3 linked regions of the Schizosaccharomyces pombe genome follow. The gene in region 3 interacts genetically with the main gene of each other region. Each region holds a gene or a part of one and is shown on either strand. Other genes may lie near its edges. The genes, in order: trx1, grx1 and met6.

Region 1 (3,196 bases), on a different chromosome or scaffold from region 3:
GTCCTAAAAAAAGGATGTTTTAAATGGATAACTGGCCCCCATTACCTTGGAGAAATCATTGTTTATACTGGAATAGCACTGATTGCCCAACACTGGTTAATATGGCTAGTCTTGGGATGGGTACTTTGCAATATGGTAGCAATCTCTTCTTCTTATGCTTGTACGGTCAAGAACAAAGAACAAAGTTTGGACTTTCGGTGGACTCTTATACCTTTTCTATACTAAGAAAAGCGTGCCGTCAGGATACCGCGATTCTTATTGATTGTGTAAAATAACATTTATTAAAAAAAAAGATAATTTGTATTAATATTTAGTCGGGGTTTGAGAAGAGACGAACTTTAAAGATGTATTATTATTTTATGTTGCACTTTAGTACAAGCAACAGTAGATGATAAAAGTTATTTGGCCAGCATGTAGAAAATAGGGAAGGAAGGAAAAAGAGATAGGAAAATAAGAAAAAAGTAATACAAGTGTATCCAATATTTAACGGAACAAATAATAAGACATATTTTGTTTCGTAATATAATCATTTTGATATGCAGGTACAAATTCCATTTCACAACAATACCAAAGGTAACTTCCCTTAATTGAAAGAGTGACTAATTTAAAAAACGTAGACGAAGAGTGCAGCTATAAAGGTAAGTTAGACAAACAGACATGAATCTCTCTTTCTTTTATGCTTGAGGACGTGAAAGGTAATGGTAAAGGATGATTAAGAGCATCATGGAGATACCAAAGGTGGTAACGATATTTTGAAGTTGAACGTCTGTCATTTTTAAGATGATCCTTTGTAGGAAATGAGTTCTGATGCTTGTGCTCGGTACAAGTTGGGAATACAAGTATTTAGGTCCAAGCCTGAATTGCCGTGCATTCTCATAAAGTAACGAAGCACGGTTGCTACTTGAAATGTGAATATCAGTACTGCAGTGATGAAAAAGACTGCCGGTATATAAGGTAAAAGAAAGAAGAAAGAAAATTCATTTTACGGTACTTTCGAATTCTTTAATACATATTGCTGCTCAATAGCTTCTGGATGTCTAAAATGTGAATGCTTCGAAAGAGCGTAAAAAAATTTCAAAAAAAAAAATTTCTTCACCATCCCTATAATTGCCGTTGATTAAAAAAAAAAAAATGTAACTTTCTACTTTGTTAAAGCCAAAGTAGCTGTAGAAAAAGTGACTGTGGATGCGTATGTAAAAGGTTACCCTCTCAAGCTGAAAACTGCATTGTACTATTTCGCCATAACGTGAATTTGATATAAAGCGATGGTTCAATACACCGTTTCTAGAGGAAGTAGCATGGAAAAAACATAAATTAAAATATCGTTCATCGTTCTAACGAAAGTTCAGCTACCGCAAAGAATTATTTGACTGGCGATTAACTTTTTTTTGATTTCAGAATTTCAAGTATATGTGACACTGTTATAAACTGCATATTTATACTCCTTTTCCAATTTCTACCGCCATTTATATGTAAAATGGATTTTGTTAACAGTAGGAATATCGCCTCACTATTTTACATTTTTGTATGTCTTTTAATTTGTAATTTCATATCAGTACCTCAGTTGTTATAACAAAATTTTCTTAACATTACTTCGACTCCACTAACTAGATCGTGTACAGCAAAGAAAAGAGCACGCATAATCTTTCAGCTTACCAAAAAAAAAGAAAATCTTTACATTTACATACTTATTATTTTGATGCTTTAATTGCTTATAATCTCATGTTTGTCGAGAATCCACGATTAACAAGCTGACATAACAACAAGATGGCTTCTTTAGCTTTGTTTACTAATTGTCAGGTTTCCGATTTGTGATTCGTTGTAATTCCATGAAGTATTACTCCGAAATGCGTTATAGAAAATTAGGAAACGAATTGGTAGGTTGATGGCAGAGAATGGCACCATATCCTCGTTATTGTAGCTCATTACCTCATCGTCGGTGATTGCACAATGTACGCTCTCGATCTTTCTACTAGAATAAGCGAACTTATAAATTACACATTTTCTCAATAATATATAAACGGGCACGTCGCACCATCGTATAAGTATACTAGAGACAAAGTTCATTTGCACTCCTGAAGTCAACGTCTTTTGAATTTTTCAGGTTTACTTCTGTTTACTCGTTAAATCGATTTTTTCTTTATTTGAGTATATATTTTTAACTTAATTTCCCATTTCATTTATATACAACATGGTGAAACAAGTCTCCGACTCTTCTGAATTTAAATCTATTGTTTGCCAAGACAAGCTTGTCGTTGTCGACTTCTTTGCTACTTGGTGTGGACCTTGCAAGGCCATTGCTCCTAAGTTTGAGCAATTTTCCAACACTTACTCTGATGCCACTTTCATCAAGGTTGATGTCGATCAATTAAGTGAAATTGCAGCTGAAGCTGGCGTTCACGCTATGCCCTCTTTCTTCCTTTACAAGAATGGTGAGAAGATTGAAGAAATCGTAGGTGCTAATCCTGCTAAATTAGAGGCTTCTATTAAGGCGAACCTCTAATTTACGCAATCTGATAGTTAGTTGTTATGAACTTGTAATACAAAATATTTTTATTTAACAAAAATAAATGTTTTGCTTTTCTTTGTGTATGCACCGTTGTAATTTATTGGGAAAAGTATTTTTGTCCTAGCATCTTTTCTACTGAAGTTGCAGAACGGCGATTTGCGTACAATTATCGCAATAATAGTAATGTGCCATCGACCAGGCGTAGTAATCTAGTCATGGGCATTTTTCAGACAAGCTAGCTAATTTGCGACCGCCTTGAGCATTTGTAATATTTAATACGACTTTTTGGTTAGGCGTTCGTGACTCTGTTCTACATTATTCTCCTATCCTTCTAAGATAGACATTGGAGAGTGTATACCAATTTGGAATGATACCATTTGGATGAATAAATATCCTTTTTGATTACATGCTCAAATACATGCTACTCTTTATTTATAACATTATACAATTAACCCAACGAATATTTATGTTGATCTGAGTAGCAAACATATTTTTGTATTCTATTAGAATAAAATCTTTAATATTCTCGTTAAGTATTGTTTTATAACAATCAAATTTCACATTTATGGAGTAAAATCACAGTAATGATTACGCTCCGTCGACATGTTCTTAACACTTACATCCTAACATACATTGTTCGTCTAACGAGTTTCATTAAAAACACAATTTTTCTTAAACAAAAAGGAG
Region 2 (3,437 bases), on a different chromosome or scaffold from region 3:
GACAGAAAAACTGATCATATTCTTCTGTGCTTTTTAGAGAACCTCCAAAAAGGACCTCTTTATTTTCTATTGCTACCATTGTTTGGCAAAACTGAAAATTTTTGATTCAACAAATATATTTTCAGACAATCAACCTATTAAGCATTTATCCCGTCTAATAGTGGAATTTCTGTATTTAAAACAAAAAGGAAATCAATTCAATTCAGTAGTGAGTAAGGAAAATAGCTATTTTTTAGTTTGCTACTACAGGAATTGAAGATTGGAGTTGGGAACTCTGACTAATGTACCCAGAAATTTATAAAACCCAATTTTCAAGAATAGGTTCAGAAACTCTTCGAATTTACAGAGGTCTAATGATAAAGGATAAAAATGGCATTAATATTCCTTGATTTTGTTTTACCAGTTCAATAATTAAATTTTCAAAAATTTAAATCAGCTAGTACAAATTGTGCACAGATGAGTTACTTAATAAAGTAATCGAAAAGAGCAGTATTTCTCGAGTGATTTATTACTCAAAATAAAAGCAAAATTTATGTGCTATGTTGTAGTTAGTAGCTAGGAAAAACAGCTGCATCTAAGTTCTATCATTAGCTTTAAAATACCACAGATTTAGATTTAAGAGCTTTATAATACAGGTTTCTTCAGTTTGAGATATGTAATTTAAAGAAAAAAATTTATTGCTCATAGAATTTCATTAGGCAGTATTAAAAAGAGAGTCGAGCTCGCCCTTCTTGAATAATGCTTGGAAATCCGAGTTACCACCAACATGCTTTTGGTGAATAAAGATATTGGGTACGGTACGTTGACCGGTCTTCTTCAATAAGTAAGCTAATCAAGGAGGTTAGTATGCTTTTTTTTATACCATCCATTTTATACAGACTCAAGGTCTATTATATTATAGACAGATCTAAACTAGCATCAAGCAAAACAACAGATGCAATAAAAACTTACATTGAATCTCATCACCGTTGTTCATAAGGTCAATCTGGTATACCTGAGCCTTAATTTTCTTATCAGCGATCACCTTTTCAGTAGCATGGCAGTAAGGGCTAAAATTAAGAGTTAATATCACTGCTTAACAAAAAAAATTAAGTAGTCGGTTCTAGGCATATGGAAGTGTAATTTGTTAAAACAAAAATACAAGCGTTCAAACTATGGTAAGCCAGTGTGACAAATACACGCCCTTATGCAACGATTACTTTACTAAGCAAACGTACCAGTAAGACTTGGCAAAAACAACAACATCGTTGTCAGCAACGGCAGAGTCAACCTATACAGAAATGTTAGTACCCTGTAAAAGAACATTTTACCAAAATTCAGCGACATTGTGGTTAATCTCTGATTCTAGCCAAACGGATACGTACAAATGATTCAACACTAGACATGGTTCTAATAACGTAACAAACAAAAACCTTTAAATTTGGTGGTATGTGGTAGGCAGATATGTATTATCAGTTGTGTATTATATATATGTGCATGGTTTTCCATATTGCTAATTCATACGTCAGTGGAGCACGTATCCCTAACGTTAGAAAAGTCTAGTAGACTTATACGTTAGTAAACGGTTCAATAACCGAAAGACTAGCATATGGCAGGGAATATAATGAATTTTATGATTTTTATTATTTTTTTTTTAAAACCGCCTATAATGATTTCGTGCAGAGAATTGTACTAGTTGGATGTTTTCTGTTCTGTATGACTTGTTTATTCTAGCGACTTAGCGTGCTTTGCATTGTTATGAATAATAAGACTAAATGATTGCGATTTCGAATAGATTTCATTTATTTACAAATCTTATGAGCTCTGGCTACAACAATTAATTAATTAACGGATTTAAAGTGCATAGAAAAAAAAAGGCTAACCTATTTTTATAATTGCGTATGTTTAACTTGAATTTTCGTTATCTGTTAAGTAATAACAGTCAATCAATTGAAATAAAAATTGTGAATTGAGACCAAATATACCTTCATCGAAAAACCCTGCTTAAAATCTTTTTATTATCTATTTTAGTTTTCTGTGTCGATTTGTTACGCTAAACCATTTTTAAGCTTCTAATAAAGCAATGATATTACCTTGCTCAAAAACATTTGCTCTTGATCAACTTAAGCTATGTTGCCTACCCATTGACATGAACGTCAACAATTTAGCTAATTAGATAAACTAATGATTTACTATTTTCCTTTTTAGAAAAAAATTCTGGAAAATAGAGCTGTAAATCAATTAGCATTTTAAATACATGATTCGATGTTTCATCTGCTAACTTTAATATACGCAATTAAGTAGATATTTTTGAATAATGACTCTAAGAACGTCTCAGCATTATACAAGCATATCCTTAAAGATTTTATCAGATACTTCCTTTTATATTAAAAAATGAAAGGTTGTGATTCAAACACGTTGCTTATCATTTAAGATCGTTAGGGAGGGCTATAAACAAAAAATTGGAAACTGAGGATACTTTACAACAGCGCTTTGATCCTTCCCAAAGAAAGATTCATAATTTATTTCCTTTAAATAAGTACTTTTTTTAAAAAGCTTAAACTATTTACGACTAAGTCACTAAAATTCGTAACCAGAAAATCATTAAAAAGCTTTATATAGTGAGGGGTAACGATAAGTAAATCCACCATGCTAATCTAAAAAAATGTACTCGCTAGAGATGCAGAGATAGTTTATATTGAGAATATTCAAAAAAATATTATTTTACTGTTTACCATAGCTTTCGAACATATCACAAAAGAGGGAAAAACCAGAGCCTTTTTATTCAGTGTTAACTGTATTTTGAACTAGCAAGGTTTGACGTTACTCTATTGCTCTTCTCCCTTTAATCTTATTTTGTTTGAGCTTGTCTAAAAAAAAAGGTTTCTCCTCTAATACATTAGAAAAATTTAAACGCTATCATGACAACTTGTTCAATATGCAACGAATCAGAAATAAAATATAAATGCCCGAAGTGTTCATTTCCTTAGTATGTGCTTGTAAGCTCAGAACAATGCATTTTGTTTCAATACACATTAACCCATGAACCAATGCTTTATTCTTTTTTTCTGTTTCCTAAAAATACTAATATAGAATTAATAGTTGTTCATTACCTTGCTGGAAAATCCACCAAAGTCAATGTGAGACTGTAAATGACAATAACACAACAACATTCAAAGGAGTTAAAGAACCTTTAAACCCCCCAGAACCTTCTCCTAATGTTATCTACGTTAATGGAAGAATCCCAAGTTTAGCAGAAGAGGCATTGCCAAGTGAAAGTCTTTTGGAATCTATTGTCGAAGATCCTAGCATAAAAAATTTAATTGAAAGTAATGCCGAGCTTTTACATATAATGAAAGAATTAGTGAACCTTGACCGTGAGGAAGAGGGTTCTGTTCCTCTGAAAACCTTAGATGCTATTCAGCAACAGCGGCTACACAATCCATCTTTCGAAAAAC
Region 3 (4,787 bases):
CTTGGCAAGTATCTCTTCTAGATATACTGAATTTCTCTCTACTGCTTTGTGACTGCTTCTTGTGCTTCCGTCTAAGTAACAGCTGATGGAAAAGAAAGATAACGTAGCGGCTTGTATTGTGTTATAAAAATGTAAACAAAACCACCAGAATACTCCTTTTTCAAGTTTAACAAGATTTTTATCATGTCCGGTGTAAAGGCACGTGAATATAGAGCTTTGTGTTCTCGAAATAAGCACTTTCATAAATGATTGACCCAGTATGTTGTGATGTAAACCATAGCTTGGATACGGTCGGTGCGTTGTTTTTCCTCATGACCGGCAAGGATCTGTCGCTAACTCTACGAACCCGGAAGAAGCAATCTTGATTTTGCCCCAGATATCCGCTTCCTAGTCCGAGTTCCAATAATCTTATCCTATGCTGTATTGCTCTCTCTTCATACCACGGTGGATTGCTACATTTGTTTTTCCATAGTATATCGAATTGTATTCTCTTTATCCACGAAATAAAACTTTCAACAAAAAAAAAACAAAATAGTTTATTAAACATTGTTTTTATAAAATCTATATATTAAACACTGAACGACTGTAAATCCCATCAACAAACGCTTCATAGAATTTTTTTTGGTGGCATTAAAAAAGAATTAGTCCCCATGTTGGAGGGGTGAGAATGTAATTTTCAAATTTCATATTGTGGCAAAGTGATTTCGCTAGATACAACTGGAATATTTCCATATACGCATCACTCTTCAAGAAGATGCATATCTATCCAAGAATCGGTTAGACGAATGCAGAAAGGGTTGAAATAGGTTTAACAAGGTTTTGGCAATTTCTATCAATGTATACTACATTTTCTTCTTTCTTAAAGAAAGGCATACAAGGAAACCATCCAGCTCAATCGCTCTCTAATTCACTGCCCGCAGGAACCTAAATTGACAAAACAATAAGAAAAGAAAGGTGGAATGAGAAGTTGAAAAGCTAACGAAAAAAACCATGTTTTGAAAATTAACATCCTTTTTAAATAAAATAGTCATAATATACGTTTCAAGCTCATTAACGAAAGTGATCGTGTTTATACATGAGGAGTTGAATCCTCAAGTTGACTAAACTAGCACACGATCTTTCTCCCCAGGCCGTTGGTCCGTAGGATACTTATACCACTGTAACACCAGGATGGTAACCAGTAGGATAACTATTGGTAAGTTATCAACAATCCTAAAAACACTTTACTTACCAGGAGGTTATGTCTTCCATTTCTCCAAAAACGCTTTCGCGGTTGGTATCATTAACTTGGGAATCAAGTCGCTCAAAGGAATTAGTTTGAGACATGATATCAATTAAATGTTCCTTTTGGAATTTTTGAATATGTGAGTTTACTTGAGTAAACTCAAGCAAAAAACCGTCGTGGCCTTCGGCCGAAATAATTTTTTCCAAGGTAGCATTGGGAAAAGATTTGGCAATTTCAACTTGTTCGTCAAATGTGAAAAGACCATCGCTTTCAATACCGAGTACGAGTACGGGTAAAGACAAATCCTTCATGACTTCCTTAGGAGAGTCTGAACCGCGTCCACGAGTAATATCATGGGTGTCCAACTTTTTAGTAATCGAAATGTAACAATTAGCATCAAAGCGACTTACAAACTTCTTCGCTTGGTAACGTAAATACGATTGCGCAGAGAAGTAAGTATTAGCAGGACGTCTTAATAACGAACTCTGGTTAAGGGAAGAACTGTCTGTAGTCTGAGAGGCACCTAAAGAAGGTAAAGACGAGACAGAAGAGGCGGGGGAATTTAAAGCACTTTCAGAAGTAGGTGATGATCCATTGGATCGACAAGGTCGTTCACGGCGATTACGGTTTCCTTCGTTGTGAACGACCCAATGTGCATTACTGGGCGTGAGAGGAGTGGGTAAACGATCTGGATAGGGGTGACGAGACGCATCAGGAACAGTACGGGCAAAGCGACGTTCGAAAGAACATTTGGAGCGATATGTCAACAAGGCAGACATACGAGCAGCTCCAAGGCCACTTACAGGCTGATCGTCTATGCCGTAGTATCCATCATTAAACTTAGGGTCAGAATATATACTCTGGCGTTGCGCTTCAGACCAGCTAATGCACCACGCGGAATGACGAAGAGAGGTAGAAATGGGAACAATTGATCGCACAAATTCCTTATCAAATGCCCACTCCAAAACCAGCATACCACCCATGGAGCCACCTACTGCCATAGCAATTTGCTTTACACCCAATCTTTGTAAAATAAGTTTATGGATGTTTACATCATCACGTATGGTTGCTAAAGGAAATTCTGGCCCATAAACACTATGAGTCTCAGCGTTCCATGTAACAGGAGAGGCGCTTCCGTATGGGCTACCAAGAGAATTAAGGCATACGATAAAGAAATGTGATGGATCAAACGCACGACCAGGACCGAGTAAAGGACCCCACCAATCTCCAGCATCAGCAGAACCACTTAAAGCATGACAAAGAAGAAGACAATTGTTTCCTTCTTTATTCAAAGTACCCCAAGTCTTGAAGGCAACGGGAACATCGTAAAGGATGTCGCCACACTCCAACGTAAATTTGGGAACAATTGCAATTTTTTGATCTGAAATAAGCTGAACAAATTTATTTTCTTGCTGAGACGGATGACAGGAGTCAGTAAAGACAATTGATTCAATCGGAGATTGAGATTCCATTTTTATCAAACGATTGATAGTCAAATTTTGAAAAAATGAAAGAAACTAAATTTTTTGATAGAACTGAGTTCTCAAAGATGTAACTAACAAAACTCAATGGTAGGAGTTTTAAATAACCAAAAAAAAATTTTTTGACAAAAGCAGATTAGTGTAAGGTTTAACACAAAGAATGAATTACTTGCTTTTGTGTTGAGTAAGCAAATACAATTAGCTTCTCTTCTTTTAAGCGTGAAAAACAAAAAATCGAAAAACCAGAAAGTTTTTACGAAAAAAAACCAAAACTAACGGTATTGCGCAGCAATAAAAATTTTAGGTTTTTTAGTACCAGGAACGGTAAGCAACTATATTTGCTAATTTGTTAAATTCCAAAGTTACCCAAAAACACTTGAATACCAAGATTTTTTTTCCTATTCGGTTATGGTGAAAGGAGAAGTGGTAAGTTTATAAACTTTTATCTCAACCTAATTTAACGGTCTGCTTAGTATTTTGTTAGACAACATTAATTGAACGGTAATCAATAACCGAGTTTGGTATACGGGTACTTCATAATATGCTATTCAAACAACGAGACTTTTTTGTTATCTTATATAAATATAACAGTTTTAACCGTAATTTCAGTAAAATCATGTATGAAAAGGATGAATTTATTAAAAAAATTACAAAGGCTAATGTTTTATAAAAAGTCATTTCATGGATCAGGACTCTGCGAGATCAACTTTCGAAGATAAACGAATCGATAAGGAAAAGGTGTAATAATGTTAAATAAACAGGCGCTTGGTCTAAATAATGATTACTTGCTAGTTTCCTTAAATTTACAATTAATTGACTTGAAGCCAATTTTAAACAAGTGTTTTCAACGTTAAGTGTTTTAGTTTATCAATTTACAAATGAAGGAATACTCAAGACATATTTTATGACCCAGCCAAACCTGTAGTTCATCCTATTCAAAAAGGTTAAGGCAATTGAACAACTTGCGCCCTTAATACTAAGTAGCCGTAAGATATATCATACGATGTTCCATGAAAAAATATTTATATCCACGCAGAATTACAGTCATGTAAGTTTTTTAGGAAAGAGTAAAGGCACCTATTCTTTTAATACAATGTCTCCCAAATAGTCAAAATAATTATATAATTATAACAAGTATGCTTGACTTTTGTGATCTATCAGAAGTTGAGCAACAATGAGAGTCTATTGTAATCGATATGTCTATGCTTAATTGCTTGTAAAAGTAGACATTTTAAGTTGTTGACTGCTACTCACCAACTCGTACTAAAAAATTCGTCTGCTATGACTAAACGATTACTGTTGTCCAGTCCAGTCGGCAGTTAGCCAGAGCCAAACACAAATAATCCCACCGCATGCTTTGTAACTGCAAAAGCTCGGATTTCATTAAAAAATAGCTTAGAGTATAAACGGAGTGGAGTAATTTTTTTTTTGAATGAGTTATTTCTTCCAATATCATAAATCTTAACCCTTCTGCTTTTTGCATAGTTACGACATGGTAGTATACATCGTTTTATACACCTGCCTTGCGGGATTTATCCTTTTGTTCTTGGTAAGCAATATTAGCTAGCATGCTTCTCATTCATGTCCACCCGTCGGTAAATAAGGTCGTTGCGGGCAGAACCTGTTTAGTTTATCTGTACTTTCGATTTTTTGATGTGACATTAGACCAAATTTTTCCCCGAATATTCATTAACCCAAATATAGGTTTACTATTATTTAACTCATTCTCATTGCCCGAGGAAGCAACTGGAAGGAGAGGAAACATGTGTATTCATTGAGAACGGTCAAAAAAAAAGTTTGACTCTTGAGAAGTGGAGCACTTCTGATAATATACAAATAACGGTCATTGTTCCCGCGTATAATGAGTCTAAACGAATCGGAAACATGCTCCAAGAGACAGTCGATCACTTGGAAAAATATTATCGTTCCTCTTCTTCAGCAGGACAACGTCGGTGGGAGATCCTTATAGTTGACGACGAGAGTAAGGATACGACGGTGAATGCAGTGCTAGAGTTTTCTAACAAACTGGATTTGCGGGATCATTTACGAGTTTGCTCACTCAAACGGAATCGTGGTAAAGG

Evidence for each region.
Region 1: mutations in met6 (region 3) and trx1 impair growth when combined (synthetic growth defect), as found in Schizosaccharomyces pombe (one study listed by BioGRID).
Region 2: mutations in met6 (region 3) and grx1 impair growth when combined (synthetic growth defect), as found in Schizosaccharomyces pombe (one study listed by BioGRID).

Annotation. Positions count from the first base shown.
Region 1 is NC_003424.3:2,623,266-2,626,461, forward strand, and holds trx1 (cytosolic thioredoxin Trx1), read left to right. Parts: upstream 1-2,067; 5' UTR 2,068-2,191; coding exon 2,192-2,503; 3' UTR 2,504-2,590; downstream 2,591-3,196. Other genes in the region: dfg10 (steroid dehydrogenase), read left to right, coding at 1-225; oligosaccharyltransferase subunit Ost4, read right to left, coding at 675-773; SPOM_SPAC7D4.08 (uncharacterized protein), read right to left, coding at 1,777-2,067. UniProt on the Schizosaccharomyces pombe protein: Participates in various redox reactions through the reversible oxidation of its active center dithiol to a disulfide and catalyzes dithiol-disulfide exchange reactions.
Region 2 is NC_003424.3:4,872,217-4,875,653, reverse strand, and holds grx1 (glutaredoxin Grx1), read right to left. Parts: upstream 1,436-3,437; 5' UTR 1,386-1,435; coding exon 1,365-1,385; exon of another isoform or gene 1,271-1,364; coding exon 1,218-1,270; exon of another isoform or gene 1,050-1,217; coding exon 952-1,049; exon of another isoform or gene 884-951; intron 829-883; coding exon 695-828; 3' UTR 603-694; downstream 1-602. Other genes in the region: ceo5 (TTC27 family TPR repeat-containing protein), read right to left, coding at 1-79; hit1 (HIT zinc finger domain-containing protein), read left to right, coding at 2,901-2,968, 3,082-3,437.
Region 3 is NC_003423.3:4,088,130-4,092,916, forward strand, and holds met6 (homoserine O-acetyltransferase Met6), read right to left. Parts: upstream 3,120-4,787; 5' UTR 2,698-3,119; coding exon 1,232-2,697; exon of another isoform or gene 1,190-1,231; coding exon 1,150-1,189; 3' UTR 557-1,149; downstream 1-556. Other genes in the region: dolichyl-phosphate beta-glucosyltransferase Alg5, read left to right, coding at 4,199-4,255, 4,411-4,787. UniProt on the Schizosaccharomyces pombe protein: Commits homoserine to the methionine biosynthesis pathway by catalyzing its O-acetylation.